Arabidopsis thaliana: one gene and its partners. The protein of the gene in region 2 purifies or fractionates together with the protein of the main gene of each other region. This does not show direct contact. Each region holds a gene or a part of one and is shown on either strand. Other genes may lie near its edges. The genes, in order: AT2G07110, AT1G54440, AT5G38890 and AT1G60080.

Region 1 (6,147 bases), on a different chromosome or scaffold from region 2:
GCAGTCTATGCCTAAAATTTATTCCAGACGGAGTTTATGTATGATTCCATTTTTCGATAAAAATTAAGTATTTTGTGTTATATATGATTTTTTATTAATTTTATGTACTAATTGAAAATAACAGTTAATAATAATTTATTTTGTTGAGTTATAGAAATTCATCATCATAAAACCAGATTAGTTTTTCTAATAGTAAAAGCGTCATATAAATTTTTATATCAAACTGAATATGAAATTTATGTTTAAAAAGTTATTTGGTTTGATTACACAAGTTTAGAAAAAACTATGCTAATAATTTTGACCAATTTGAAATTCAAAACTTGAAAAGTTAGAACCAATTCGAACAAAAAAATAAACATAATGGGTAATCAATGAATTTCTGTAGTTTATGTACCAGTTTCTAGTGGGAACGACACTGATTTCTTTTAATAGAGTAAGAAAAAAAATTAGAAAGAAAAATAGGAAACTAGAATTTGCAAAAATAAATTACAAACTAAGTTTTTATTTATTTATTTATTTGATTCATTAATATTAGGGGTTATTTTACCACTTTTAAAAAACTGAGGGTTTAAAAATCCACAAAAAAAAGTTGAGAATTTTTTCATGATTGTAGATAATGTGAGGTTTTTTTTTATCCATTTTTCCATTAGGATGAGTTGTTTGTTATTAAATAAGAGGATGATTTGTATCAAACAAGAAGATATAAAGTTGATACTTGAACAAGAGTGTGATTAGTTTTGCTAAATTAAGCACATATGCATATGACAAGTTGTGTGGGTGAGAGACTCATCATAAAACCAAAAATGAATGTGAGAGATTCATCAAGACACAACATAAGTTTCTTAAAGTACTTAATTTTACGATTCTTTCTTTTGTTTTGTTCAACTACTATCCTTTATATGGCACACGTTTATCTATACTCTCTTAAAAAGGAACGCATGAGATGATCACAACTTATACGAGAAATTCAAATAAAATAAAAAGATTGTATTTATATCTTGTATTTGGAAACTTTAGATTGAAATGAAAATGTAATGATTTCTTTCAAGAAGAAAGACCGCATGCACCATCCGATGTTTTTCAAGGTAAGGGGGAAAATGAGAGTGATAATGAGCTTTGATTCTCATAAGAACTATTTTTGGTGTTCTTTCTTTCATTATTGTTTTTAGTTTCTTTATATGAAGTTTCAAATGAAAAATGTAACACTTAGATTCCTTCTAAATAAACGCACATCTCTCATTTTCTCTAACTCACAATATTTCTCACTAGTTCTTCAAAAGTTACATAAATTATTTTGCTTAAGCTAAGAAAATAAGTAAATTAAGTATGATATATATACATATAAATATATATATATATATATATGTATATATGTCTTATTTACTGATTCAAAAACCTTAAGTAATTGAATTCTTTATTTGTTTGTTTTCTTAGCTTCAGTGTGTTTGATAATGGAGATAAGAAAAATAATGTATGTTTGATAATTGTGTGTTTTTATGTTTGTAGACATGCATGTTTTTTGTGAAAACTGTGGGAAGTCAAACTGTGACAATCGATGTCAAAGGTAACATGACCCAAAATCGGGAAATTGAAGTCTCTTCGAGAAGCGAAAGAGGGGATTTTGGCTAACAAATAGAGGATCTACTTCAAAGGGAAGATGTTGGCGGACGGTGGAGCTACCAACTAAGATTTAAAATTTTATAGTTTAAGGAATTGTGTTGGTCTTTTAACTTTTTGTTCGTCCAATGGTAGGTCTTTAAGCGGGTTTCTTAAAAAACAAAAAAACTATTATTAAATTAAAAATTACACATATTTTCTTTCATAAAATTTAATAATTAATCTAAATTTTTAAATTTTAAACATACATGATATAAATATTGAAAATCGGAATAACGATAGTTGTTAGCTTGATTTCCGCCAAATTTGTGCCGTAAAATTTAACTCTTAAATTAATTATGAAAAAGTAATAGTGAAATTATTAAGAAATGATTTCTTAAAGTTTGAGTTTTTCATTTAAAAATTTTAAATAATTCTCATTTCTAAAATCATTAGTTTAACTATTTTAATTAACAGTTAATATTTAAAACTAATTTAATTTTTAAACTAATCTTGAAGAAAAAAATAAAATCCAAACATGATACACATATTCCTTGCCTAAAAATTAGATGATTATTATGAAAAAACTAAATAAATATGCAAATTAAATATATCTAAGCTATTCGAGATTTATGCTAAGAAAACAAGTAATTTGAAAGACTGTTTTGTATGACTGTTTTGTATTTTTTTTTTTATTCTGCTAGATCGTTCAATATGAAAGAAGAAGAATCTCAAGGTAAATTTCTCGACTTCGTAAATTCTATCCTTCATAGTCTCCCTTTTTGTACATCATATTTCTTTAGAACAAACGTTTAATACCTTCTAACTGCCAGAATGGAGGCCACGGTAGAAGTTACACAAAAACATATTCACACTCTCAGTTTATGGGATTACAAACTTTCACTACTATAAACTCTATAAATACTCAAACAGACATTGTTTATACCGGATTATATGTGTTTCAGACAGCATTAGTAAATGTTTACCAAGGTGAAAGGAACATAAAAACGATACAGAACCACCATCATGTACAACCTACACAGAAATTACAAAATGAAAACATCAGATACAACTCAAGTTGACAATATATATATACACAACATTGAATAGTTACTCACCTGAATAATCACTGAGGTGGTGGTATTTGGAACAACTCTCAAAACACAAATACTCTGTAGCGTCCTTTTCAGTATCGTTTCATACTCTTTTTCAACTTTTCCTATCAATATTCAAAGCAAAAGAAATTCACATCTAAAAACCAAGAATCACCTGTACTACATACTCAAGCGACAAAACAAGCCTCTTTCTGAAAAACTAAACGCATTTACGATTACCAATCTATCCGGTTTAAGGCTTCCATATGACTTCAAACAAGCCTTCTCAGCATTTTCGTTCTTCTTCGTTCTTGCTTTAGGTCCGTATTGCGCAGATAGAACTTTTGTATCCTCTGAAAATATAAACGAGAGAGTTCCATGTATCCCATTCAAAAAGGATAAAAACAACTTTGTACCCATAATAGATATTGAGAAAGCTGATAAAGTACCTTCTGACCAACTAGGAGAGCCATGAGGACGATGAAGGATATTACGCGAATAAGCAAGAGGTTTCAGCTGACAAGTAAGTCTTTCACGAGTTATATTTCAAGTAAAAAAAAAAGATATAATCTTAAAAATTGTAACTACATAAGATAGTTTTAGTTTTATTAATTAACTACATAATAACGAATAAAAAATAAACATAAATTAGCAAAAACAATCAATAATTGTTTTTCACAATTTTCAAAACAAACTCACGCTTCACAATTTTCAAAACAAACCCACGCTACACGTGGGTATTTATCTAGTATAATATAAAAGACATGAAAAAAGAATCACATTTCAAAGACTGTTTGTACTCGAAAAATCGAAATTCTAAACTTGCAGTGATCTGAATTCCAAAGGAACCGAGGTCAAACTTGGAAGATGGACACATTGAGAAAACCCAAGAGAGACAGAATCTATTTGAATCTTCTTGCAGAAGTCTCCCCTCGCAATAAAGATGCAACCCACTCCAGTTTGATTGTCGTCACAGCACAGGATAAGGGTCATGTCATGGATGAAGTAACTAATATCAGAAAGCTGATGGAATAGCGAGGGAAAATCAGGTATTGACAGTGTCATCAAGTTTAACCACACCACATTATTACTAGAGTTAATCATGTCATTTGTTACCCAAATCTCTGTATTACTTGATATACGAGATTGCTTTAACAATGCAAACTGATCGCCCTTAAATACAGTGAGGACAAGTTTATCTCGTAAGCCAGAAACATGCTTCCCACAAGGAAGGAGACAAAAGTGCATGGATATTTCTGTGGAGAAATCAAAGCTTCCGAGAAAATGCTCACGAGTATCTTCATTGTAAGCAGTCCAATACAAATTTCCATTCAAGGACACATATTCACCTCGACCTGCCAGCATTGGCCATTCCGGGGAATCAATGAACTTAAACGCTTGAGACGCACATTCAAAGATCGCAAATCTGTGGCCGATTTTCAGTGTAGTGTCATAGAAACGACTAAAATACCCAAAGATCTTGTAATCCTTTTCGGGTTTACAAGCATCGTATCCTACACCGCAAAAACGGAAATCTCTGTCCTCCTTATACTCGATCCACCCAACCTGTCTTAACCATGGATTCCAAATGGTAACCCCTTGGTTCCAAAAGTCACGAAACAATAATCCATCGCAAGCCGTGATCCTGGTAAATGCCCACTTCTCAGCCTTAAAATGAAATTGACAGGCTAGCTCACGCACCTCTATCTTCGGATCAAAGTCGTCCAGGCCGATGGTTCCTATCGAATAAATCTTGGATTCGGGCAGGATGATAAATTGGGGACGTGCACAACCCAAGCTTTTCTTGATGAACCATTTGTCGTTGAGAAGATCGTTCAGTGTTTACATACGGATCTTACCCGAACAAGGGATCCAGGTGGAAGCCGACACAGTATCTCTTCCTCCAACTCCCACGGAAGCTTCCCCGACGCCATTACCTTTCTCCGACTTCGGTGGCTTTAGAGGAGAATCTATATATATACCACCGCGTGTACGACTCAAATAAATAAGAAAAGGAATATTTTTATCTGTTACGAAAATGAAATAACACCCTTTTTTGGGGATAATATTAAATAATTCTTAAAAGTAAATGTCAAATAATTCTTAATAATTATTTAGGAAAGAGATTTATCTTCCAATAATAAAATTACTGAATAATTATTTCTCAAGGATAAGAAGTTAAAAACATAGATTTGAGGAATAAATAAAAAAACAATTATTCTTTAAATTGTTTATAAAAAAGAAAGAAATATATCTTTCAATAAGAACTGCATATTTTTGTAAGAAATAAGAAAAAAAATTCATTTCTTAAGAGTTAAGAACAAGAAGACAATATTTGGAGAAATATTCTGTTTATATATTCTGTTTTTAATTGTTAACCTTGTAACCTGTTTACGACAAAAATAGAGAAGATCTATTGGTTTTAATCAGCAGAATCTAGCAAGAAACTAGATTGATTACCATTATACGAGATTACAAGAATTGATTTCGATGCAAAACTTAATTTGTAAATTTGTAATTCAGCTAAAGGTAGTTGGTCGGTAGGTTTGACACAGAACATATAACCTAATTTTTATATGACTATGGTTTTGCCTATGTGATCTCTACAGCTTCATTGATCAACTTGAAAACTAGTTCTAAACTTTTTCACAAAATACCAACACTGAGACTAATCAATCACATCAAATCTAGAGCAGCATAAGTATTGAATATTGGTTTAATTTAAACAAATTTCTCTACATATACAAGTTAAATGTCTGAAAATAAACTTAATTTAAACTTTTTTAAAACAAATAAATGGTTTTTTAATTAATCAATATAAAAAAATCGCCTTTAAATTCCCTTGGAAACATAAATATTGCGCATCGGTTTAATTTTTTAAAAATTACCAAAAGAGGAAAGCTGAAAACCAAAACCCTAAAATAATATTAAGAGCCACGTTATCCTAATAGATCAAATGATAACATAACATTGAGAGCCACCTGCTGCCGTTTTCTTCGGCGACTAACGATGACGATGCCGAATCTTCCAAATGAGTTGGTAGAGGAGATTCTCAGCTTTTTTCCAGCCACATATCTGAAACGTTTGAGCTACTTGCAAACCATGGAACCGTTTGATCCACAACGACAAGAGATTCGCAAGAAAGCACTACGATAACGCCGCAAAGGAGTTTCTGGTTTTCATGTTGAGGAAGAACTTCAGGATTTGTCTGATAGGCGTCAATCTCCATGGACCTAGCTGATCCATCTGCAGAGGTGAAAGGTGAGCTTACCCTACCAGATCCGTATTTTAAGAACTCTGCTGATGAATTCGATATAGATAGAGTCTTTCACTGTGACGGCCTATTGTTATGCACTTCCCAACTCGAACGTAGAATGGTTGTTTGGAACCCGTTAACTGGTGAAACCAAGTGGATCCAAACCCACGAAGAAGACAAGAACATATCCTGCAAAAAGAG
Region 2 (10,101 bases):
AGACGGGTCAAATGGGGTAGAAGGAGATGGGTCATATTTTTAATTTGGTTTAGGATTGGTTTAAGTGGTTTAATATCAGTTTATGTTATAAACCAATTAATCAAACGTTTATGTGTTTTGAGGTTTCGAACTTTCAAATTAGGGAGAAATAGGACTAGAACTTTTTATTTGTGTAGACCAAGATCGAGGTTGAAATTTTGTGTAGTTCTAATGCTATATGAAACTTCCGAGGGGGACACAGGTCGTTCGCCCTAATAAAAGTGGATAAACGTTTTTAGTGGTGTTGTAATAAACGCGAAAACAATGTCTTCTATAATTAATTTAAATTTGATCTATTTAATAAAATTAAAACCCAATCGTGAAGCCTAATCCCTATAACATTAACATCATTACCGCTTATAAGAAAGGTAAATATAATAGAAATACTCTGTATTTTCTTAGCTTTAGATTTTATGAGATTTCGTAAATTTAAACATTTGGTCTTGGTTTAGGAATTCTATATTTCAATGTTCTTTAATAAAGTGAGACAAACATCTCTATCATGAATCTCTTCCTTTCGTTGAAACTCTCACCCCTTGTTATTTATTTACTCGCTGGATCTCATGCTAGATCCCTCTTTCACTCACCAATATTACATCCGAAGGGAATAAATCTAAACCTCAAAACACATGTATTTTAAAAATAAAACATGCTATTAAAACTAATAGATCTATATATTACATATATTTAGCAATATATACCATGTTATTCAACAGAATCACATGAATTATTGAAAGAAATCTACATATTTTATCAATATTTCACGTTATTTATCAAAGTAACATGAAATCTTCTAAATTCTGCATATAAACCATGTTGTTCAATAGAGTCGTTTGAATTCTTGAAATAATTCTACATATTTATCAATACTTCATGCTATTTAACAAAGTCACATGAAATCTTAGTCACTGACGATGAATATGTGAGCTCCGATCTTTGTCTCTCTCTCCCTCCTAGTCATTGACGATGATGAGTACGTGAACTTATCCGTAAGACATCTGTTAGCCAATTAACTGAGGTATTTTTTTGTCATCGGTGATCCACCGAACCATGGTTGGAACTTGGAAATGAGATTAATGGACGATGATGTAGTGTTGTTGAGAAGTAATAATCATCTTAGCGTAGGAATAGTTTGGTCATTGTGAGAAAAGGTTAGTTACTTAATTTTCAGCATTTGGCTAGTTACTAATATTACCCTTTATAATATAGTAGTTCTTTAGCATGGTTTGTAAACAATAAAAACAAAAGTTTTTTAAAACATAATATTTTGCTCAATTTTAAACAAGTAATTTTAGTTTTGTTTATGAACTCAAGAGCGACTAAAAATTACAAAGTATAAACAATTATAAAAAAAATATTTCCATAACTCTCCAAAAAAATAGTTGTAAGCTGTGTTATATTTACATAGCATGTAGTGTTTTCTTTAAATAGTTGCCCGTACCCACTAAAAAATATGTCTGGTCCAGACAAGTCTGGATTTGCTTTCACTAAGAGCAATGTTTTGTTTCTGGTTAATCAAAAATTCAATTAACATATATAAAACATATGACTACCTGTTGTATACACATACAAGTCAAGATAGATTGTCTATTGTCTGAAGATACCGACCAAAACATTGCATAATGTACCACAAAAGCTAATGAAAGGGCTCTAAATGTTAAGAAAGCCACGTTTCATATTCATGAATCTCCTATGTTTCTCACTTCTCCTACGCATGTCTTCATCTTCTCTGCTTTCCGAGTCATCATCATCGTCTAACACAATAACCTCTGTATTACATGTCTTCGGCTTTTGAGTCAACGATGGTGATCCCTTCGAAGGCGTTTCCGAAACTCTGTCCAAAGCATCAGCGGCTTTCGTGCTCTGTTCATAAGACTCATCATCATCATCATCATCATCATCATCCACCACTATGATTACCTTATCTGGCTTGGACTTGGACACTTTGACCTCTTCTTTTACCTGCAACTTCTTTCTCAGCAGATTAGTAATGTAATCAATTGATACCGGTGTTTACAAATTTCTATGTGAAGTACAATTCTCACACTATATAACAACCTCACCTTGTTATCACTTTCAAACTTCCTCTTTGACAGCAAAACTCCAAAACCACTGCTTTGTTTCTTTGAATCATCCACACAAACCTTCTTCGAACTCAGAGAAGAAGCTGAAGCTTCTGTGCCTGTTTTCTCAATCTTAGGTTCGATATTCTTTTCAACCACCTAATTCAAGAAATGTCATAGAGCAAAGAGAAAATTTTCACTATAAATAATTACCAAGTGCATGCAATAATAAAGCAGTCATGACTCATGGCTCTTAAGTAACATCTCATGGTTTCGCACCACGAAACTACTAGACATTTGGATTAGCAATTAGCACTTGCAAATAAGTCTCCTCTAGTTATAGTATTTTGGCCCACATGCTATTGAAGGGTGCAAGATTTAGTTCCTAATAAACTTGGTTCTATATGACCTAATCTATTCACTCAAGCAAGTATCATATATAATCACTACTAATTGCTTTTCACCAAGCAGGTAAGCACATACCCTTTAACTAAAAACCTACAGTTTTAAAACACATATGTAAAGTTCTCTTCTCACACTATATAGTATATAACAACCTCACCGTTTTGTCACTTTCCAACTTCCTCTTTAACGGCAAAACTCCAAAACCACTGCTTTGTTTCTTTGAATCATCCACACAAACCTTCTCCAGACTCAGAGAAGACGCTGAAGCTCCTGTGTCTGTTTTCTCAATCTTAGGTTCTATATTCATTTCAACCACCTAAATCAAGAAAAGACAGAGCAAAGAGAAATTTTTTACTATAAATAATTACCAAGTGCATGCAATAATAAAGCTTTCACGACTCATGGCTATTAAGAAACATCTAGCAATCAGCACTTGCAAATAACTCTCCTCTAGTTATAATTTCTTTGCAAGTTCACATGCTATTGAAGGGTGCACGATTTAGTTCCTAATGCACCTTGTTTCAATCAAGCAAGCATCATATATATATGATCACTGCTACACCACAACTAAAACCTACGGTTTAAGAATACATATTTTTCAAAACATATCTACTCGATAACAGCAATCATTGCCAAAACCACTCCAGAATTAGAAGGCAAGCACATTTTTTTCGTACTCCTTATATAAACAGAAAGAAACCAAAAGGAGTTATACTATTAATTCATAACATAATAGATATCTTACTGTTTCAGGACGCCTATCTTTCAAAGATTGAACAACTGGCTCGAATGCCGCTGCATTTTGCATTGATCGTCTGATGACACTGATCACTGCGTCAAAATTACGCTCGAGGTAAGGAAGCTTTGACTTCAACAAACGGCGCAACTGGGCAACAACAATTGGCATCTCCTTGGCTGTTATTTAATAAAACGAGTTAGACCAAATTAGGAACCACCGACAAATATCCAAGAACCTGGAGATGAAATGGTAAATTATCTACCTATGTCAAAAAGAGTTTTATTTGGCAATACATAACCGGTGCTCTCATCATCTGCGCGTGCAATCCGATCCCGCCATTCACAAAGCCCCTGCAGCTCAGCAACTATTATGTAAGCTTCATATGGTAAAAAGAAAGGTAGATGAAGGGTGCCTTGTATCATTACGCAAATTGAGAGCATACCGCAACAATGGAAAGTTGAACCGCATTGAGATTACCTGTCTGAACCCTAACAAAATGCCAAAATGGAAACACATACTAGAGATTATTTTAAGTTAATAAGCCATGCATAAGATTTTAAACCTAATCGGGTATTGCTCTTCCATATAAAAGCACAAAAACGATTGACAGGATAGCCAAAGAACAGGTACACCAGGCAACAATTAAAACTAAAGCGTAGATTTTGATTCATGAGGGGGACAATAAGCAACATACCCATAAACGTGAAGATATGAATCCCTAGTCCAAAGCTCTTTTTCATATAGTTGCATGCACACGTCATAACTGCGCTTGTACACCTGTTAGCATTGATAACTTCGTCAAAATGGTTATCGAAAACTGAAAAATCCCAAGCATAGACCCACTCGACTCAAAAGAGAAGATTATGAATAGAAATGAGTTGATGCTTGATCTTCATGTGCCAACGAACAACCGTATACGTGACACAGAGACATCAGGAAGGATCAGTTAGAAAAATCAAAGAAACCAAAGTTAAAGCAGGGACCGAGGGGGATGAATTATTTTATACAGATCTTACTTTGGGCATAATATTTCTATTAAATATTGAAAGAGCAGAATGGTATGTTTGGTTTCTTTTAAAATTTGGGTGAAAGAGAAGGGAACAAGAGTCACGTCTAATTAAGTGGGTGTTTTTTTATTATAGCATCTTCTTTACTCTATCAGTCTCCCTTTAATCAAAATCTAGAAAAAGAAATACCAATAGAATTCGGGAGACTTTGATTGTTACCTCTACCAGAGGAGAGTCAGATTGCTCATCTTCCTTTGCCATTGTGTGCAACTCCATTCGCATTACATCATAAATGTACAAAAGATAATGTGTATCTTCTCTAGCATATCTGCCATTATATGCAAATGTGTTAGCTCAACTCAACCAATGCAAAGCAATCATGAGAGAGACTAGACAGAGAATATACTAACCTTTTCATTACATCTGGAAGGGGTCTTATTCTCCAGTCTGCTTTTTGGTATCTGCAGCCAATTAGCAAAACAGAAATTGAACGAAGAGTGAGATAATGAGAATGCAAAAAGAACAAAAGTTAACTAAGATTGGATTGTTATGCACTCTTTGTTTGCAGCAACTCCACAATAATGCTTCAGAAGAAATTCCAGACTATTTCTCTCCAGCTTTAGCACCCTTGAAGCCTGACAGAAAACAAAAAAGTACTGCTTAAGATTTAATAACACTTTAAACCTTAAGAACCTTCAGACCAAAGTTATCGTTTAATAGCCACAAGAATGTCACGAACATCATTAAAGGAATACAGGGACAGAAGAGTTATATTTTCAAATTTCTACTCTCTGGAGCGTAGACAAAAACAAAGGAAGAAAAATTGAGTTTCATTTTTTCCAATAAATTGTCTTCATTCTTCTACATTACTACCAAAATGGGTTCTGTTAAGGTGATCTCATACACCTCCAAGTAATATGACCATGTCAAAACAAAATAACCAGAAATCAAACCTGTCCTGTGTCAAAAAGATTGCAGACATAAATGCCAAAGTCCCGTTGAAGCCAAATAATATCTCGATCTGCTCCATGGATTACCTAGTTAAGTTAAATGGTTTCATATTGTATTAACTATATTCTAGGAATTCTGTAGAAAACACATTGCGCATTATGGAGAAAACCTTTTTCTTTTTAGGGTCTTTGAAGAGTTCCCTTAGATAAGGACCAATGTGATCCCAAAGCTTGAATATATCAACAATATAATCCTCGGTTCTAGTAGAGATTTGCATCAAGCATGTTAATCCTTGAAAAGTTCTATACTGATTATGCTCCAGATCGACCTACAAAAGGAATAAAAGACAACAAACTCAAGCAAGAACGATAAACAAGATATAATAAATAAGGAAAGAGATACCATCATCCTAACTCATAAATTAAGTTCTCTTTGTCTACTCAATATACTGGAGACAGATACTTTAAGGAAAGCTCATTCTCATTATAACACAAGCAAACTTCTAAGAGCCTCTACCAAAAAGTGCCACATTTTAACAATACATTGCACATCGGACTAAAAACAATCAGAGGAAGAAAATTTACAGCAAACTCTTCAACACTTTGCAATGCAGCAGCTAAGTCCTCAAGATCTTTGACTTCTTCAACTAGCTTGAATGGAGTCTCTTCCAATGGGAGAGGCTTAACAGGTCTCATCTCACTTAGATTTCTATCAACAAAGTCCATCACAGATAGTTCCTCCTACAATACGAGAACAGAGATGCAAACAAAATCACATACAGAAAAAGGTAACCTAAACAAATCAAAGATTACAGTTCCACACTCGAGATATTACATTATACAGCTACGAATCAACACAGAGACAACGAAACTAACCAGTGGATGAATGAACCGAAGACCGTCTTCACTCTTCTCCAACAAAACATGCTCAAAAGGATTATTAGCATTGTCTACCAAAATCTTATACTCCTCTTGAGGCTTCGTTAACGTCGGTATATGAAACGGAACCTCTGCCTTGCCAAATTTCGCGAATCCCTTATCACTCTCAGCCACTTTCACATCGATTACCTTCTTCGAATCTTCCTCCATCTTTCGATTCCTCTTGAACTCATCCATGGGATCATCAAATCTCATCGATTTCTTACCACCAATCGTCTCAAGAACAGACTGCGAGCTCCAAGCTAACTCATCGATCGGACGCTTGAACTCGTCGGACTTGGAGAGAGAATGGAAATCTCTGTTCGTCGGAATTGTAAGAGAAGACGAAGATAGTTTTGAGAGATTCTTCGGAGACTTCTTCACCTAAGCAATGTGATCTTCTTCACTCATTTTTGGATTCTCGCTTAGGGTTTTAGAATCGCCATTGAAGTCAAGTCTTAGTCAAGAAATGAGTCTTCGTATTAAAGCTTAATCATGATAAGGAGCTAATCTTCTTGATAAGCACCTAATCAATGTTGTGTGACATTTGTCAAAATTTTGTATTTGTTTTGGATTCCATACCAAATATGTACATGATGATTATTTTTATTTTTTAAATCCTATTTATTTGTTTTTAAGTTTTATAAGTTTAGATATATAAGTAGATTTTAGAATACTTATCAGAAAAATAAATTAACGGTTTATCATTTTATCTTAATGTATTTTCATGTTTACATGTATTTTTTAGAAAATTTAAATACAGTAAAACCTTTTTAAAAAAATTATCATCACACCAATTTTTTTAAAAAAAATACATTTAATAGAAGGTATATAAAAATTGTCATCATACCATATCATCTGCTTTATTATCAAATAAAAAGCAAAAAAATAATCTTACCATTATGAATAAATCAAAAATTAGCGGTAAAGATTAACGGTCATAAAGGACACAAGCTGTGGAGATATGAAAGAAAATAAATTTCGATTCTAAATATAATTGACATATCTATAATAAAATTCTAGCAATAAAAAGCACAATCAGTTAAGTTCATAATGTTGAAAGCTATTATAAATTGTCACTCTTATTGTATATATATACTATATTAATGACATGTGATTGTTGTAGATGTGAGTAGTAAGACATGTATTTATGAAAATAAACACACAATTAAATAAAAATATGTAGAAATTTTTATTAGAGAGAAAACTAAAGTGTCATGTTCGACACCTAAACATGTTTGTCTAACATCTTAAATTAAATTGTCCTGTTTGTTTATACATATGAATTTATGATCTGAAGATGGACCGAATTTTTTATTTCTTTGATTTATTCAGTTTACATATTAGAAAAGAAAATTTTCACTATTACATATCCTTTCTTTGTGCAAAGACTGATTTTTCCATTCATACGATAAGAGGAATTAGAGAGAATAAGGGTTCATCACAACCAAGACTTAAGACAACAAAATTTAATACACTGATTAGAGCATAATATAAACTGAATAGATACCTTGACGATAAATCCAACTTTCGGAGACATGAGCGATAAGGCACATAGACAAAAGCGAGAAAATCGTAAGTCGATACTACATCCACAAGCAAGTCGTAAATAATCATAGTCGATTGACAATTTGACTTTGAAAAGGAATCCAAGACCTCAATTCTCACCGGCATGAGACGTATTACTTCTTCTCCAAAAGATAGTAACAACTGGAAGAATGGACGGTTCCAGACCGGAGACCACATTGTAACAGTTTTCTTCATGAAGGAGGGTAAGGAGCAAATTGTTCTCTTTGTAAAGGAGGAGGGTTGCAGCAGTATGCTCTTCACAACGGAAAGAGTTGCAAGATGGGGACCCATAAGGTCAGTATCAGAGTCGAGTTCGAAGTATACAATATGGTTCATACACTTGAAGAAAGCATTCCAAAATTTTCAAAATATTAGAAGGCCAAGTCAGAGACTGAACATATCTCGCTTGATACGTATGGAATAGGGAGACGACGATATGTTGCAGATTGCAAATATAAGCCGGTAGACGAGAGGCAAGAGCCACAAATCGGGATAATCGTTTTTTCAATTGGTGAAACAAGTTTAGAGACGAAAAGTAGATAAATTTTAGCAAGGATTGTCAAAGGATAAAAATATCGGCGAAATGATTTCTATTTTATAATAACATTTTTACTTTCCATTTTATTACGGTAAAATATCTTCAATCTGTGTGACCAGTTAGTTTAAAAAGTGAATAATAGTATTATCTAATATGGTATGCATGTTTGCTTTGGATTATGTATTTCAAAAAAAATTATCCTCGTCAATGTTTTTCTTGACCTTTTTCGGTTCGATCTGTTGATTCCTTAAAGTTTGGCTATAGTGTTGTTGTTGGGCAGTTTTTGTTAGTCTCCTCCACCAGAAATTTTTGACCAAATAAATCTAAATTTGGTCTGATTTTACTTCTTTTATACTAAATCCATGTTGTTTTCACTCGACAAATTGATCATGGATCCTTTAGACGGTTTATCTTTGTCTCTTTCGAAGCTCCGTCAAACCAATTCATGAAATATATATTATTAGTTTTGAAGTCTAACTATCATCAACGGAGGACAAAAGATTTGAAGACTACATTTTGAAGATTCTATAGTGATATCAATTTTTCAAATCTTTGAAAAATATTGATGCATGAAAGTTGTTATAAATTTAAAAATTATATAATCGTAGCTTTCAATTTTTTTTTTGCTATTTCTCATATCTGATTTGTGTAACTGGTTAAATTTCTTGGGTTTATGTTTATAATGTTGTTGATGTTGTGTAAAATCCTCTCTTTCTAATAAATATTAATAAAAATAGTACAATTTAATATATATATATATATACATATATACTAAGACGAATGAAGATATATAATTCAACTACAGATAAAATATATTGCAGTTCAAATAATAATCATATATATAATAGCAGAGTTTTCTCTCCTCTAAAAGTGTCCACGTCACTACATCTTTTTAATGTGGAGCCCACATGTTTTTACTCTGTCTTCACATTTTTTTCTATGCGTGAGATAGATTTAGTGATGTTTATGGGGCACGATTTAGTGATGTTTATGGGGCACGATTTGGTCAAAAAGCCCATGAGCCAAAGAACCAAATAGACTTAGTGAGGTGTATCGGGCCAAGATTTAGTCAAAAGAACCAAATAAACCAGTATACTCCTTCTGTGTAGTCAATGGACGAACTGGCAGCTAGGCGAGGAGATAGATGAGTTGTGCACTTGAGGGACGAGCTGACGAGTAGGTGAGGAATTGGACGAGCTGACTAGCTGACAGCTAGGCGAGGAGATGGTCGTTGAGTGATGTGGAGCTTGAAGACGAGCTGAAGAACTTAAAGACGAGCTGGAGTATGGGGCACGATTTGGTCAAAAAGCCCATGAGCCAAAGAACCAAATAGACTTAGTGAGGTGTATCGGGCCAAGATTTAGTCAAAAGAACCAAATAAACCAGTATACTCCTTCTGTGTAGTCAATGGACAAACTGGCAGCTAGGCGAGGAGATAGATGAGTTGTGCACTTGAGGGACGAGCTGACGAGTAGGTGAGGAATTGGACGAGCTGACTAGCTGACAGCTAGGCGAGGAGATGGTCGTTGAGTGATGTGGAGCTTGAAGACGAGCTGAAGAACTTAAAGACGAGCTGGAGCTTTCCGTATTTTTCTTCCCCAGAAGCTCAAACATCAACAGTTATTCACTAAAAGGTACTTAAATACATGGCTTAATTCCTACAAAATTCCACTACTTGCAATTTAATTCATACTTTTAATATCTCAAATCGAAACTGTAACTGGAGAAAAGCAAAAACCTCCTATACATCTTCCTTTAAACTACTATAAAATCATCATCTCCCATCACCCCCAAACACAATTATCACTTTCCACCAGAAAATATTACACACTCTGAAAATGGCTGAAGTTGATGTTGTTGCAATTCCTTCTAA
Region 3 (7,033 bases), on a different chromosome or scaffold from region 2:
AATGTATATAAGATATATGAGTCTATAAATTAAGAGACATCACATATTTACTGTTAAAAGGCATCTGGATATTCACAGGAGTTTTATGTACAAGTGATTTCTCTCTGTTTATTCTTTTGAGCAGGACTCAGACGCCATTATGTTCTTTGAGCAAGTCTTTATTACAATGCTAAGAAGTTTCATTTTCATCAAATGCCATCACCTGAAAGATTAGAGTGAAACAATTAGGTATGGATGCATTAACTCCAAAAAGTTAACTCATCTCATGGTTCTCTATATGACCAATAATTGTATGAGAAATGGACCACTACTTAAAATGGGGATATCAAATTCTAATACAAAATGATGCACTTTTAATATCGATGAAGGAGATTGATGGAACATTCGACCAAATCCGGGTTTTAAAGTTTTGTAGAAAGCGACGAGTTACCTTTCCACAGACGGGGCAAGTTTCACTTCTCTCCATCCATTCATAAATACAGCTAAGGTGGAAATGGTGAGAACACTTGGTGATTATCTTCGGATTCTCCAAAGTGTAATCTGCATATTGTTAAAACAAAGAACTATGAAACCAATATTACCTTAATGCACTCGCAACGATTGCCTCATCTACGTAAACTATACTATTAATGGCCTAATGGCTCAGGACTCAGGAGTGCACTAAATGAAGAAATGAAACCAAGAAAGCAACTTATAAAGATCTACTAACAACCTAACACACTCTTTACCAACAAAACTGCATATAATAGGTTCAAAGAGAATAATAACAATAGCATCAAACTAATTTTTTAGTATTACCATCAAGGCAGGTTGGACAAATATCTTCATCATCCGAATCTGCATAATAAACTTCTATCCCCGGCATTGTTTTCGACTTTGTAAAGGTTGATGAACCTTTCGTATACACTTCTTTCGAACCATCTTCAGAATCAGACTTACTCCACTTGGCTCCACCATCACCCAAAGCTTCAGAACTCATTTCAGTATCACCTCTTAACGGTTCTGATTCTTCACCTGAATGACTAGAGCCCTTAACAAAACGAAAGTACCTAGGATCAGCATCGTAAGGCAATGGTGTTGGAGGAGAATGATATACACTAGACAGAGAGTCATCAAGTGCAGTTGTTGAATTCATCACTGTAGCTGTCTCTACAGTTGAAGGTATTGGATGCATTCCCCCTCTACTAAACAACGAAGCATACTGCCCAAAAAAAATCGAACATAAAGTTTTAACTACAAAGAAACAAAAGATTCGAAGACGAAAGTGAAGAAGAACATTACCAAATCCATGAAACTCTGGAGGAAGCAATTAAGGCAAGGACAGTTCCTAGTTATGGAAGTGTTTGGATTCACATAACTCTCAAAGAGATCAACTTGAAAGCAACAACAGAAAGCACCCATATCTTCGAAATCAATACTTTCAAATTTCACAGAGAATGAGAGAGGAAAGCCAATTTCACAGAAGATTTTCACTAGCTCCCGTAAACCAGAATCCTTCCTCTCTCTTCTTGGTGCAAAACTCTTGTTCCTCCTACACAGTAGAATCACCTGTAAGAGAAACATATAACATTTCTAAAACCAAATGAATAACTAAACTTGAATAAGCTAATACACATCACAAAACTATACAATTCGAGCAAAAAAAAACAGTTTTTTTAAGGATTCATTGTTTAATGTACGAGCAAAAGCATCAACCTTTCAGATAAAAAGCATCAATCCGATGAAACCCAAAAACCATCATAAGCTCATCGATCAACATCAGATGATCAGTAATGAATGGTATCAAAATCCAATGATCATCAAAGAAACTTTCAAAGGAAAACAAAAAACAGAGGAATCGATGAGTACCTTTGTGATAGAGACCTGAGAAAATCCAGAAGCAAGAGAAAACCCAGGAATTTTCCGGTATTGACTAATTCTAAAATTGAAGATTTTTCAGGTTCGTCGAAAAAGTGCAAAATGAAGTTTCCTGAATAATAGCGATCCTTTCTCTCTCGTCTTTGTCTTCTTCTACCTTTTGATCCATAAGCCTTTTTGGTCGAAATTTAACCAGGGAAAAACAGAAAGTTTCGTAAATAGTCCCTTTAATTTTACATATATTTAGTTATGACCCCAAACGTTTCGATTATAAAGCTTAAACTTATTCTAATTGTGACCCATACATTTTTGTATACAAAAACCATTTCTTTTCTCGGCAGCACCAAGGGCATACAGATTTACATCTCTTAGGAAGTTTGTTTCTTGATTTTCTGCTAAGTTTTTATACTACCAACTCACCAAGAAATTGCGACAATCGAATGAATTTTTAAGTTGTTCCGAGCTAAGCCTAGCATTTCCACATTGTTGGAGTTATGGATTTATGTTCAAATTCTAACAACAAAATGTCTTTCGAGTTTAAGAAGTTGTAAGTATCCTAATAATAATAGTATCCTGACTATTGTCGAATAAAGGTCAAGTTGGTCTAAAGTTATCTCTACACTTGATAACAAACAACAGAAGAGCTCAAAATTGTAATAATCTCAAATGTCTGTCTTGCTGCAGAGACCACACCTCATTATGTGAGAGAAGCCAAGTGTTGTCTTGAATTCAATTACCCACCTTGGCAACTTTTCTCTGCTCGGTTTGGCCCGACAAGGGGCACTGCATCTCTGTCCAACTTATCGGAACCATTGTTTCGCCTGCACAATCACCAGACCACATAAACATTTCGATTACTCAAACGGAAATTAACTTCGTATAGTATTATAAACTGCCCAAAGAAGCAAATGCATCTACACATTAACATACTCCAAGTCCAGGACGAAAATATTTGTTACTCATAATTCCATAATGAGAACTACAAGTTAGAAATGTATTACAATTTGATATGTGATAGATTAGCTATATAATTAGTAATCTTTGCCCTCATTACCCTTTATTTAGTTTCTAAGAGTAGGAAAAAAATTACCCGCAGCACTTTCAGCTGAGACCACACCAAGTTCATTCTTAGCAGTTGACAAGTAGTAAGCCCGTGCATCACCAAGAGACAGCTTTAAGAGTCCAAGTTAAGGCAACTTCAGATATTATCACCCAAAACATCATCTATTATTATAGACTACACCTACGCTACATTCAAATTAAACTATACAAAGAGATATGTAAGTAAAAAGAGAAAATAAATGGCATAATGTAACAAATCTTAGAATTGTCTCTCCTCTAATAAACAATGTTAACCACTGTACTACTAGACAATAAGTGTGAAACATAAGCGCAAGGATACAACCATAGCTCTAACAATGTCACCAGCATGGAAAGACTGATGCATGTCAACTTTGTCAATCTCTGTTGCTCTAACATCTTGTTGCCTATGAAAGAGCAAACACAAGTTAGATCGACACATAAAAGAACAAACCTTGAAAATAAACACCAAAGGAGGATGAGAAATTCACCTAATTACACCAGCAAAATTTTCACGAACGGCTTTTGAACCAACACACAAGATATCAACAGCAGCCATCTTAGTCATAACTTTAGTCACCTATCACGAATAACAGAGAATAGTGAGTGATGAAATTACTCTCTTTTTTTCCAAGTATGAACATCAATGAATCCAATGAAATAAGTGCAGGACTCACTCTTGCTATGACAACAGAACCAGTCTCTGGAATAGGACCATGTGCCTTGTGACCTGTAACTTCCACAATAGCTCTCTGCTTACCATTTTTATCATCCAATAAGTTATATATCCATAACAATCACAAAAACAAGTATAACAATCCAACGATTTCGATTTCGATTACGAATAGATGTGCCAGAAGAATTAATCACTTGGAACAAAGACGAAACCTGATCAATTGATTCGGGAAGAGGAGAAACAATCCGGCAAGTTCCTGTGAGGGAAGCGTAGATGGTGGCGTCGTTGACGTAAGCTCCTTTTCCAGCTTTAAACTCTGTCGCTTTCCCGATTACATCTCCCGGCGTTACTAGCCCCGTCGTCATTGTTTCAAAATTTTCCGATTTGAGAGTATCAAACAAAACCCTAGGAAGGAACCTCTGGGTTTTAGATTGAGAAAATTAAAACAATTCGGAATCCATCCCTTTAGTGTTATATAAATTCAACTTTGACCCTAAATGTTCTGGTTGTAATTTTAAACTATTCTAATTTTGACCCATAGTGTTTTCTTATTACCCAATTCGACCCGGTTAGACTTAAATACCTTAGTCCGACCCGGATACATCTCATACCCGAGTCCGACGCGGTTATTACCCAGTTTCAACTTTCAACAGTCGACGACACTTGCAGAAAAATTCGAGTTTGATTCCTTTAATTGAAAATCCAATAAACAAGCGGGACCTCGATTTGAAATCTCTTTATCCAGATCCATCTCTCCGTCACAATCTTCCATCTACCGTCACCGGAACCGGCGAGTTAGTCGTCGGGATTCCAGATCTGTTTGTCTACGTCTTCCTTCTGTCTCTGTGTTCATCAGAGTACCAATTCGCTCGATTGTTGCTGCATTTCGCGAATTGTATTAGGTTTATAGCGTCTATGAACTCCTGTTTTCGCTCGATTTGAGTAACCTAGGTATTTCTCTACGTTGATTGTTTGGATTTGAAGAAAAGGCGCAAAGTATGAGTAGAAATTTCGGAAGTTTCATGAAGATTTGAGGGATTGAGTTAGGTATTGTAGTTGTAGAGAGAATGCAGAGTTTATCGAGCTCGGCTCCGACACCGGAGGCGATATTAGAATGGTTACAGAAGGAAATGGGGTACAGGCAATTAGGTCCGTATAATGGATCGAGCAAATCTCATGTTCCTTCTATTGATGCTATAAGGAAGATTTGTAGAGGGAATATGATACCTATATGGAATTTTTTGATAAACCGAGTGAAATCGGAGAAGACAGTGGAGAGAATTAGGCGGAATATTACGGTTCATGGGGGAAGTAGTAATGCTAGCATTGGGAGTTCGGTAAATCCTGGGAAGGAGGAGAGTAAGAGTAAAGGAAGGCGGAAGGATAAGACAGTGACTGGTGAGAGTTCGAGTTATGCGGAGGATAGAGAAGCTGCATTGCAGGAAAGGGAATTAGCTGCAAAGGAAGTGGAGAGATTGAGGAACATAGTGAGGAGGCAAAGAAAAGATTTGAAAGCTAGAATGTTGGAGGTCTCTAGAGAAGAAGCAGAGCGGAAGAGGATGCTTGATGAAAGAGCAAATTACAGGTTTGTTTTGAATCTTTCAATTTTGAATACTGTATTTGGATACATTGCTTCTCACTTGTAAAATAATACAATAGAAATAACCTGCACCACTCAGCTCAGGTTCATTTAATATTTTCTCTTGTTGTTGTTATGCTTTATTATCGTTAGTGTTAAGTCCTCAACAGAACCATTACAAGTATGGTTGCTATGTGTAGTATGGTTAGCTGCTTAGAGTTTTGGTGGTATTTCGATTTCGTTTCTCTATGATTTCAGGAGCCATAGATATATAGCCCTGAAGTATTCTTCTTTCGTTTTGTTGATTCTCCAATGATTTTAATATACCCTAGAATGGAATATATGGGATTTAGTCAGGCTATTTTGTTTCTCTGGTTTCATGGATATGCCACATCGCCCATTCTTAAGATTCTCACTTTTGTATGGCGATATTGATTGTCTTTTTGCCCTCTTCATGAACCTCAATCAACAGCATTTATCTATGTTGAAATGCATTGATTCTGTTCATACAACAAATCAAAATATTTGTTGTAGTTATGTTCAGTAGATCTTTCAAATTGTTTAGTGAGTTTTATTTTTCCTTTTTTCAGACACAAGCAAGCATTGTTGGAAGCGTATGATCAACAATGTGATGAAGCAACAAGAATATTTGCAGAGTATCACAAAAGGCTACAAGTCTATGTTAATCAAGCAAATGATGCACAACGGTCTGTCAATTCATCGAATGAAGTGTTAAGCAGCCTCAGTGCTAACAGTGAGAGGGAAGCTGTTTATTCCACTGTCAAAGGAACTAAGTCTGCAGATGATGTCATTCTCATGGAAACAACCCGAGAACGAAATATCAGGATAGTATGTGATTTGCTTGCATCACGCATGATTGAAAGAATACGTAACTCCTTCCCTGCATACGAAGGAAATGGAATTTGTTCACTTCCAGAGCTGGAAACTGCCAAGCTGGGTTTTGAGTATGATGGAGAAATAACTGATGAGATGAAAACTGTTATAGTAAATTCCCTGAGGGGTCCTCCTCTGCTGCTTCAGGCTATTGCTGCATACACTTTACGCATTAAGACTCTGATATCCAGAGAGATGGAGAAGATTGATGTCAGAGCAGATGCTGAAATGTTAAGGTGTGTCCTGACTTTCCTTCTTATGCCACTCTTTGTTATTGTGCACTCCTGATTCTGCAGGGTATGGTTCACCCAAATGCACCTTGCATGCTATTTTTGCTAATTTTCTTGACACACAAGTGGAAGATTATGAAACTCATATAGCAAATTAGTACTTATGCTGAAGTTCCTGGACTCCCTTTAAGATATGTCTGATCAATGATAATTGTATCTCTGTCTCTTATAAGTTTTCAGTTTTCGTCTCTGCTTTCTTAAGTTCTTGTTCCAGGGTTGCTTTGGACTAACATAAGCAATTGGATGTCAATCTATTTGCAGGTATAAGTTTGAGAACAACCGTGTAACAGACAATTCTTCTTCTGATGTGAGCTCCCCTTTGAGTTATCAGTTTAATGGAAACGGGAAGATAGGCACAGATACTCATTTCCAAGGATCTAACAACCAGCTCCTTGAACGGCAGGTTGCTTTCTATGTCTAGTTTTGCTGGTTTCTTCTTGTTAATTTGAAGATATGGAGAAAGGAGGGTTAAGCTTCAGGCAAATGTTTAATTCAGAAAGATATGTTTTGGTCTTCTAGTGCTGTATTTGTATATGTTGCACTGTATGGCTATATGTTTAAAGTCTGTTTATCTTAACTTTCACCTGTGCTACTTTTTCCAGAAAGCCCATGTTCAACAATTTTTGGCTACTGAAGATGCACTAAACAAAGCAGCTG
Region 4 (7,522 bases), 1.8 Mb from region 2:
GAACATGATGTATGCAAGTTAAAGAGAAAGAGATGTTCTTAATCTTCAGTTTTCTTCTCTTTGTACGATGCTTCCTTTTCGGTGATCGATGCATTGACTTGTTCCTTTTGTCCAGAGATGACAACTACTATAATGGTTTGAAAAACTTAGGGTTGAAAAATTAGGGTTAAAAAAAAAAACTAGTGGATCGACGCCAATGGATAGAGTAGAGGAAGAGGCGGAAGATAGGGAAGTAAGTATACAATCTAAAGAAGATGAGAGTTTTTGTAAGTTTCTCGAGATGATTCCTCTTGATCTAATTCCTGATATACTCTTGAGACTTCCTGCTAAATCTGCTGCGAGGTTCCACTGGGTCTCTTAGCTATGGTCATCAATCACCACTCATCCAGATTTCATCAGGTCGTTCGCGAGTCAGTCTTCAACTAGGTTGTGTCTTTTGGTCTGCGTGAAAACAAGTGACAAGCGTATTTTCTGCGCAATGCCCCAACATGAAAATCCGGACAGATCATGTTATCCACATGTGGAGCGTTATCTGAAAGACACTCTCATATTTGATTATCACGAATGGTCCCAGTCGGTCCATGGCTTGATATGTTTGGGAGATTCTTGGGGCATATTGTAGTTTGGAATCCAATCATGAGACAACATGTTACCTTACCAAAAGTCGCATTTGAATGTAGCTCTTTAGGATATGATCCGGTCGAGGGTAAGTATAAAGTCTTGTGCATCTCATGCTCTAGATACCAAGATCCTCTTGTTTTTACTTTGGGACCTCAAGAATCATGGAGAGTGACACAAAATACCCCTAAACATGTCCCTCTATCCGCCGAGGGACTAATACAAAGTATATGTATCAACGGGGAAGTGTATTATGAAGCGAGTATACCTTTTGGAGTCGATGATAGTTCTGAAGTTGAGAAAGTCCTTATGAGCTTCGATGTGAGGTACGAAAAGTTCAACACAATAAGAAAATCAGCGGCTGATAATTTACTTTGCAAATTTTTCCTCAACTACGAAGGAAAATTTGCATGGGTTTGCTCTGACGACGTCTCTGGTAAATGATTTTGGGTTTTGGAGGATGAAGAGAAACAAGAACGGTCACTTAGAAAATTTCCTCAACGTGACCCGATCTGGAAAGTTTCTTGGGGGCTGAGAGGTATTACTCATGATCCACTGGTGAGTTTATTTATACAGCTGCAACAACATCTGAAGCAATTTATGTCTTATATTATGATCCAAAAAGAACCCTAGTAAGGAGGGTCAAATATGATTATATGAAGGAATTGGTGACGAAGAATTCTGGAAGCTTAATCATAAAAATGTAAGAGAGGTCCGCTATTATCATAATCACACTGAGAGTCTCATGTCTTTGGAGGAAGTTCCTCGCTTAGCATATGATTCTTCCACAGATTCAGAATGATTTTATGTTATTTAGTATTTAATTAGTCTCTCGAGGACTTTCCTCGTCTAGTATGGAATATTTCTTTCACAGATTCAGAATGGTTCTTGTTACAATGCCTCTTTTAAATGGAATAATATTTTAACATACCCTTACATTATAACATAAAAAAATTCAGAAAAGCCTAATCAAAAACAAACTTGCGATGGTGGTCAACAAACAAACTTGTTAATTGCTTTTGATTTGAACATTTGTAAAATTAATCAGCTTACGCACATTTCGGTTCGTTTGAAATGGAGATAATATAATCTCACACTTACACTAGCACTAAATTAAAGTCGTTATATGACAAACAAAACCGTAACACAATCGAACAAAAATGGTGAAGAGCTTCTTCCTTTGCCTCTAAATGGGTAACTTGGTGATCTGATTAAAATATGTAACACAAAATTTCAACAATGTTATGGAATCGTTCCATCTGATAAATTAGTCGATATCCATCTCTCCCAATATCTGCTTAAGCTCCTTTGCTCTCTTCCTTGCTAACTCGACACAGCTCTGCGCATAGCAACTTTATAAGAAACAAAAAACGGTGTAAATCAAGTGGTGGATTAACCTAAGAGAAAGCTAAAACTCTCACCTTGATGGCTGATGAATAGGCGAGAGCAGCTCCTCCTGATTTGTAGAAAGAAACCATTTGATCCGAGGAATCCAAAACAACAGTCACAAGAGTGTCCATGATCGATTCTTCTTCGGTTGTTGGATCTGCTAAGATGTAGTTCTTGTGAAGTATGCAAGTTAAAGAGAAAGGAATGTTCTTAAGCGTAAGTTTTCTCTTCTCCTTGTTCACTGCTTCTTTCTCGGTGATCAAAGCATTGTCTTGATCTTTTTCTCCAGTGACGGCAACTATTCTTCCATTGTCATTCAGAGCAACAATTGGAATTTGCACTGCAATATAAAAGATATTTTATGCATCAGAGGAAAAATTCTTCTGTCTCGGAACACCAATCACACAACTTCTGAACAAACCGCTATTGTGCAGGGAAGAATATTACTCAGGTATGACTCACTCAGCAAGATTTAAGTGTTCTCTAAGGCTTGCTCTTTTTACTCATATTCGAAATGGATTTGATAAACTTGAGAATCAGCTTTATTCAAAGGTTCTCTAAAGGAGCTGTGAAACCAACTAAAGGATGAGAACAGAGAAGAACTTACGATTGGAGAAGGCTGCGACAGCAGCAAGCAGAGCAGCATCAAAGAGAGCACCATCAGCATCCAGGCAATATATGTCCTATGAGAAATTTCAGAGAGCAACAATGTTCATATATATGCTAGAGAACTCAGTTAAATATCAAAGAGAAAGATCCCTAGAAGAATAGATGTGAATCAACTGACGGACAAGCACCGATATAAGACCAACGAGTACTCACCAGATAACCCATCCAAGCAGCTTTTCCACTAACTAGACACAGTTCTTTAAGATCAATCATACCAGAACTAGAACAAAAAAGAAACACTTTTAGAAGGAACATTGTATTTGATGCTCAATGAGACAGAGAAAATATAAAGAGAAAGATCAAACCAAAACACACCTTAAAATAGTATCAGACAAACGCTTTGAAATAACGGGAGCAGCTTCGGCTGGTCTTCCAGGACGAACAGTCGGAGAACAAATTGGAGGCATATGGAACTCAATAGCTACCAAAAAGGAATCACAAAATGAATCACCAAAGAAGAACAACAAACCACATAGAGAACAAGACAACGAGATAACAACCTATGCATCCTTCGTCTGGAGAGTCCGTAGAAGGAGTCATAACTTCCATTCTAATAGCAGCAAGCATAGTCTATAAACACGAAACAACTATGTAAGCAAAACATTGCTGATCATGTGAATACTATCGAAACGACTAAGGCGGGTTCTTACAGTGGAACCAATCTTAGCAAGAGCAGACCCATCAGCAGTTGAAACAAGTCCTACAACAAACACAAGAAACCACTATAAAGTTGACATTTTTAATTTGATAAAAACTAAAAAGAATCAATCTTCATTGTTTATACCAAGATTAACAATGGTGTCTCTAGCTTTTCCAAGTTGTCTTCCATCAGGACGAAGAGATTCAGAGAGATGACGCTCAAAGAAACGAAGAGGGAAGATTCTTCTAAAAGCATCAACTTCCATCTCTGTCGACAAGTCTTGAGCTGCATCTGGTATTCCCATGTTTTCTTTAGCTCTGCTTCATGTCACAAAGATAAAGAGAATCATAAACCAAAAGTCTCTGAGTCTGTGCTTCATCAACACAGTCTCAAGGAATCACAAAGCTTACCTTGGGACAAAAGAAAGAACTGCCTTTGGTACACGAAACTGTTGTAGTGAAGAGGAAACACAAGCAATAGAGTGTAAGAAGAAGATTGAGAGCTCGCGGTGTCGTAAGTAATGGGGATTTCGACGGAGACGGTGACGGTGACGACGGCTAGGTTTATCTGAGTTTTTAACTAAAGTACTTCTTCATTCTAAATGGGCCCCAAACAAAGCCCAATAATGTTGCGAAGCCCAAAGAAATGCGAAATAAGAGATTTGTTTGCTTCACAAGACATGAGTATATTGAAATTTGGGTTTTCAATTAGATGAATTTGGCGAAAATATGAGGCGCACTTGATTATGAGCTGAATTTGGGAAAATGTTTAGTGTAAATTGTAAAATATGAAGAAGAAGAAATGGCGTCAAAATGAACATTATACATTCTTGTTTTATATCCAATTTTGTTAATCCTCCATACATTACTTAATGGTGTTTAATTATAAGTTAAGAAATTTCTCTTTTACTATATATATCGTTATAAGTATTCGTAGAAAATTTCAATTCAAAACATCGTTATAAGTATTCGTATATTGAAATTTGCAACAATCAACAGAAAAACTTATCGTTATTCCGTTTTTTTCACATCTATTTTAAAATTTTAAGATAATGTATGTTTAATATTTTATGCTTTGTAATAATTATTAAGTTTTATGAAATAAAATATTTTTTTCTTTATAAGAGGACCAAATATTTTTACTTTAATACCTCAAAAGTTATTATATCATAGTCCATACTATTAACAAAAATTTAGGAATACCCAAAAAAAATTGAAATGTAACAAAAAGTCCAAAAATATTTTTTTGGCCCAAAAGCCCTCATATATGTGGGGCTGGGGCTGCATAGCCGCATGGTTTTCCGGTCCCCTAGTTTCTTTCGTTATTTGGGTTGGTCAGACCTGGGCTCCGATCCAGCGTAATCTGTTTCTTATCATAGTAAATAAAGACCATAATTCATTTCAACACACTTCCCAATATGTTTCTTATCTAAATTGCATCATCATTAATGTCTACGTCACAACTATATCTAGCGGGTACGCAAATGGCTACTGGACTTACTTATTCTAACATGGAACGAAGAAAAGAGTGTGTGTGTGTGTGAGAAATGGAACAGATTTTGGCTCTGTTTGCCATTTTTCTTGCTTTTGCTTTCTCCGGGAAATGCAGCGACGTTTTCAGCAGATCTGACTACCCTGAGGGATTCGTCTTTGGAGCCGGCACTTCTGCTTATCAGGTTTGGAACCAATTTATGAGCTTCTTTTTTCTTAACTTTTGAACAAAACTGAACCAAATGTTTGGTCTCTACTAGTGGGAAGGAGCTGCTGCAGAAGACGGAAGGAAACCTAGCCTGTGGGACACTCTTTGTCACTCTCGTAAGCTTTTCATTTTAACACAAACTATTATTAGTATTAGAGTTTGTCACTCTTGTGCTTTGATTCTTGTTTCTAACATTGCAGGTGACCAAGGTAACGGAGATATAGCATGTGATGGGTATCACAAGTACAAGGTTCTTTAGCTTCTCTGTTTCTCTGACTACATCATGAGGTTTTATTCATCAAGCCTGAGTTTCATTATGAATTTATACAGGATGATGTGAAGTTGATGGTGGACACTAACTTAGATGCTTTCAGATTCTCCATCTCTTGGTCTAGGCTAATACCTAGTAAGTTTTCTTAAACATGTTATAGCTCAGTGAAGGGATCAAATTTATGATCAGTTCGTAATTTATTATCTGATTAGATGGAAGAGGGCCTGTTAACCAAAAGGGTCTACAGTTCTACAAGAACCTCATCCAAGAGTTAGTAAGCCACGGTAAGACCTATCTTCATATCCACGGTAGGACTCAAGAGTTAGGTTTAGTTCGTATTAACTAGAGTTTAAGTAGACTTACTACAGGAATTGAACCACATGTTACACTCTACCACTATGATCATCCTCAGTCTCTGGAGGATGAATATGGAGGATGGCTCAACCACAGAATGATGTAGGCGTTACTTATTTTCTCTTACAGATTTTGTAGTTTAAGATAAAATAACAAAAGTTGATGTTATTTGCCATTGCAGCAAAGACTTTACTACTTATGCAGATGTTTGCTTCAGAGAGTTTGGGAACCATGTCAAACTATGGACCACGATCAACGAGGCTAATATATTCTCTATAGGAGGTTACAACGATGGGGATACACCGCCTGGTCGTTGTTCCAAACCGAGCAAAAACTGTTCTTCAGGGAACTCTTCCATTGAACCATATATTGTAGGCCATAATTTGTTGCTTGCGCACGCCTCTGTTTCAAGACGATACAAACAAAAATACAAGGTATATATTACATAACCCTCTCTTGAATGTGTGAGAAGAAACACACTATAAAGTATATATAATATGCAGGATAAGCAGGGAGGTTCCATAGGATTTAGCTTATTCATATTAGGGCTTATTCCTACTACAAGCTCCAAGGATGATGCCACTGCAACCCAAAGAGCCCAAGATTTCTACGTCGGCTGGTGAGTCAGGCACAAACTGTTCCAAAATATTGTTCAACATATCTCAATAAAAAAGATTTACTCTTTAAAACTCAGGTTCCTTAGACCTCTTTTATTTGGAGACTATCCTGATACAATGAAAAGAACCATTGGATCAAGACTGCCAGTTTTCTCTGAGAAAGAATCAGAACAAGTTAAAGGCTCATGTGACTTTGTAGGAGTCATACACTATCATGCGGCTTCTGTCACTAACATCAAATCCAAACCTTCTCTGTCCGGAAACCCGGATTTCTACTCATACATGGGTGTATCTTTTCATTGTATGAATCAAACTCAATCTTTTAAATAACAAAACAAGATTTTTTCTCTTTTATGATATCTTGTTTTTGCTAATCATCTCTTCTTCTTTCTTTCTTGGGAGAGACAGATTTTGGAAAAAGTTTAGATTTTCAGGTAGGAGTTTTGAGGCTAAGATTTCTTTAGTCTTGATAGAGAATAGTGTTACTAAGTTGTTTTGTTTTTGTTTAAACAAGTATGCTAATACTCCATGGGCTATGGAAGTTGTGCTGGAGTATATAAAGCAGAGCTATGGAAATCCTCCTGTCTACATTCTTGAGAGTGGTCTCTCGCTCGCTCGCTCTCTATCTCTCTCTTTTTTTATCCTCAGCTAAATTCACTTTCCAATGGCAACAAATAGGTACACCGATGAAGCAAGATTCGCAGCTGAAACAGAAGGATATACCAAGGGTGGAATACTTGCATGCCTACATTGGTGGTGTGCTCAAATCCATAAGGTAAGTAAAGTTCCTTATTGCTTCTTCTCTTCACTTTTTTTTATCATTGTAATCAAGAAAAAATACATTACAACGTATAGGAATGGATCAGACACGAGAGGCTACTTCGTATGGTCATTTATGGATTTATACGAGCTTCTAGGGGGATATGAGGTTGGTTTTGGGTTGTACACTGTCAATTTCAGCGATCCTCATCGCAAGAGATCTCCCAAACTCTCTGCTTATTGGTACTCTGATTTTCTCAAGGGTGAATCTGCCTTTCTTGATTCCCAAGGCATCAAGGAATTGCAGAGCAAATACTCTTCTTCCTTCTAGACTCCGTATTGTTTATGAGAAGTGTAATGAATAAAATCTCATGTTCTACTGAGTTTAGGCTGCTTGCCATGAGCTAGTTTAGTGACGACACCATACATAAGTTCAATTTAGTTTCTGGAGCCGACAAACTCTCAGTAGACACGGTGGTTTTGCCTTGGATTTGAGATGTTGTTTCA

Evidence for each region.
Region 1: the proteins of AT1G54440 (region 2) and AT2G07110 fractionate together in Arabidopsis thaliana (co-fractionation; one large-scale study listed by BioGRID). This does not show direct contact.
Region 3: the proteins of AT1G54440 (region 2) and AT5G38890 fractionate together in Arabidopsis thaliana (co-fractionation; one large-scale study listed by BioGRID). This does not show direct contact.
Region 4: the proteins of AT1G54440 (region 2) and AT1G60080 fractionate together in Arabidopsis thaliana (co-fractionation; one large-scale study listed by BioGRID). This does not show direct contact.

The regions. Positions count from the first base shown.
Region 1 is NC_003071.7:2,950,099-2,956,245, forward strand, and holds AT2G07110 (exosome complex exonuclease RRP46-like protein), read right to left. Parts: upstream 3,111-6,147; coding exon 2,879-3,110; intron 2,816-2,878; coding exon 2,715-2,815; intron 2,632-2,714; coding exon 2,512-2,631; downstream 1-2,511. Other genes in the region: AT2G07120 (F-box associated ubiquitination effector family protein), read right to left, coding at 3,507-4,493, 4,550-4,624.
Region 2 is NC_003070.9:20,319,520-20,329,620, reverse strand, and holds AT1G54440 (Polynucleotidyl transferase, ribonuclease H fold protein with HRDC domain-containing protein), read right to left. Parts: upstream 6,586-10,101; 5' UTR 6,338-6,585; coding exon 6,080-6,337; intron 5,945-6,079; coding exon 5,789-5,944; intron 5,533-5,788; coding exon 5,374-5,532; intron 5,291-5,373; coding exon 5,207-5,290; intron 4,889-5,206; coding exon 4,809-4,888; intron 4,715-4,808; coding exon 4,664-4,714; intron 4,582-4,663; coding exon 4,473-4,581; intron 4,024-4,472; coding exon 3,941-4,023; intron 3,735-3,940; coding exon 3,689-3,734; intron 3,597-3,688; coding exon 3,509-3,596; intron 3,423-3,508; coding exon 3,253-3,422; intron 2,824-3,252; coding exon 2,665-2,823; coding exon of another isoform or gene 2,641-2,664; exon of another isoform or gene 2,262-2,640; coding exon 2,103-2,261; intron 2,008-2,102; coding exon 1,690-2,007; 3' UTR 1,612-1,689; downstream 1-1,611. UniProt on the Arabidopsis thaliana protein: Acts as an important epigenetic regulator through multiple silencing mechanisms. Involved in transcriptional gene silencing (TGS). Plays a role for DNA methylation in the RNA-directed DNA methylation (RdDM) pathway.
Region 3 is NC_003076.8:15,566,452-15,573,484, reverse strand, and holds AT5G38890 (Nucleic acid-binding, OB-fold-like protein), read right to left. Parts: upstream 4,068-7,033; 5' UTR 3,979-4,067; coding exon 3,826-3,978; intron 3,690-3,825; coding exon 3,615-3,689; intron 3,518-3,614; coding exon 3,429-3,517; intron 3,345-3,428; coding exon 3,260-3,344; intron 3,030-3,259; coding exon 2,948-3,029; intron 2,679-2,947; coding exon 2,587-2,678; 3' UTR 2,316-2,586; downstream 1-2,315. Other genes in the region: AT5G38895 (RING/U-box superfamily protein), read right to left, coding at 170-202, 431-540, 799-1,201, 1,282-1,531, 1,849-2,030, 2,181-2,210; AUG5 (HAUS augmin-like complex subunit), read left to right, coding at 4,681-5,198, 5,783-6,322, 6,638-6,779, 6,979-7,033.
Region 4 is NC_003070.9:22,150,720-22,158,241, forward strand, and holds AT1G60080 (3'-5'-exoribonuclease family protein), read right to left. Parts: upstream 3,925-7,522; 5' UTR 3,727-3,924; intron 3,634-3,726; 5' UTR 3,621-3,633; coding exon 3,461-3,620; intron 3,377-3,460; coding exon 3,327-3,376; intron 3,247-3,326; coding exon 3,177-3,246; intron 3,098-3,176; coding exon 2,992-3,097; intron 2,897-2,991; coding exon 2,830-2,896; intron 2,691-2,829; coding exon 2,615-2,690; intron 2,348-2,614; coding exon 2,040-2,347; intron 1,958-2,039; coding exon 1,886-1,957; 3' UTR 1,511-1,885; downstream 1-1,510. Other genes in the region: BGLU4 (beta glucosidase 4), read left to right, coding at 4,863-4,991, 5,067-5,130, 5,215-5,264, 5,345-5,420, 5,498-5,569, 5,654-5,741, 5,821-6,073, 6,143-6,258 and 5 more.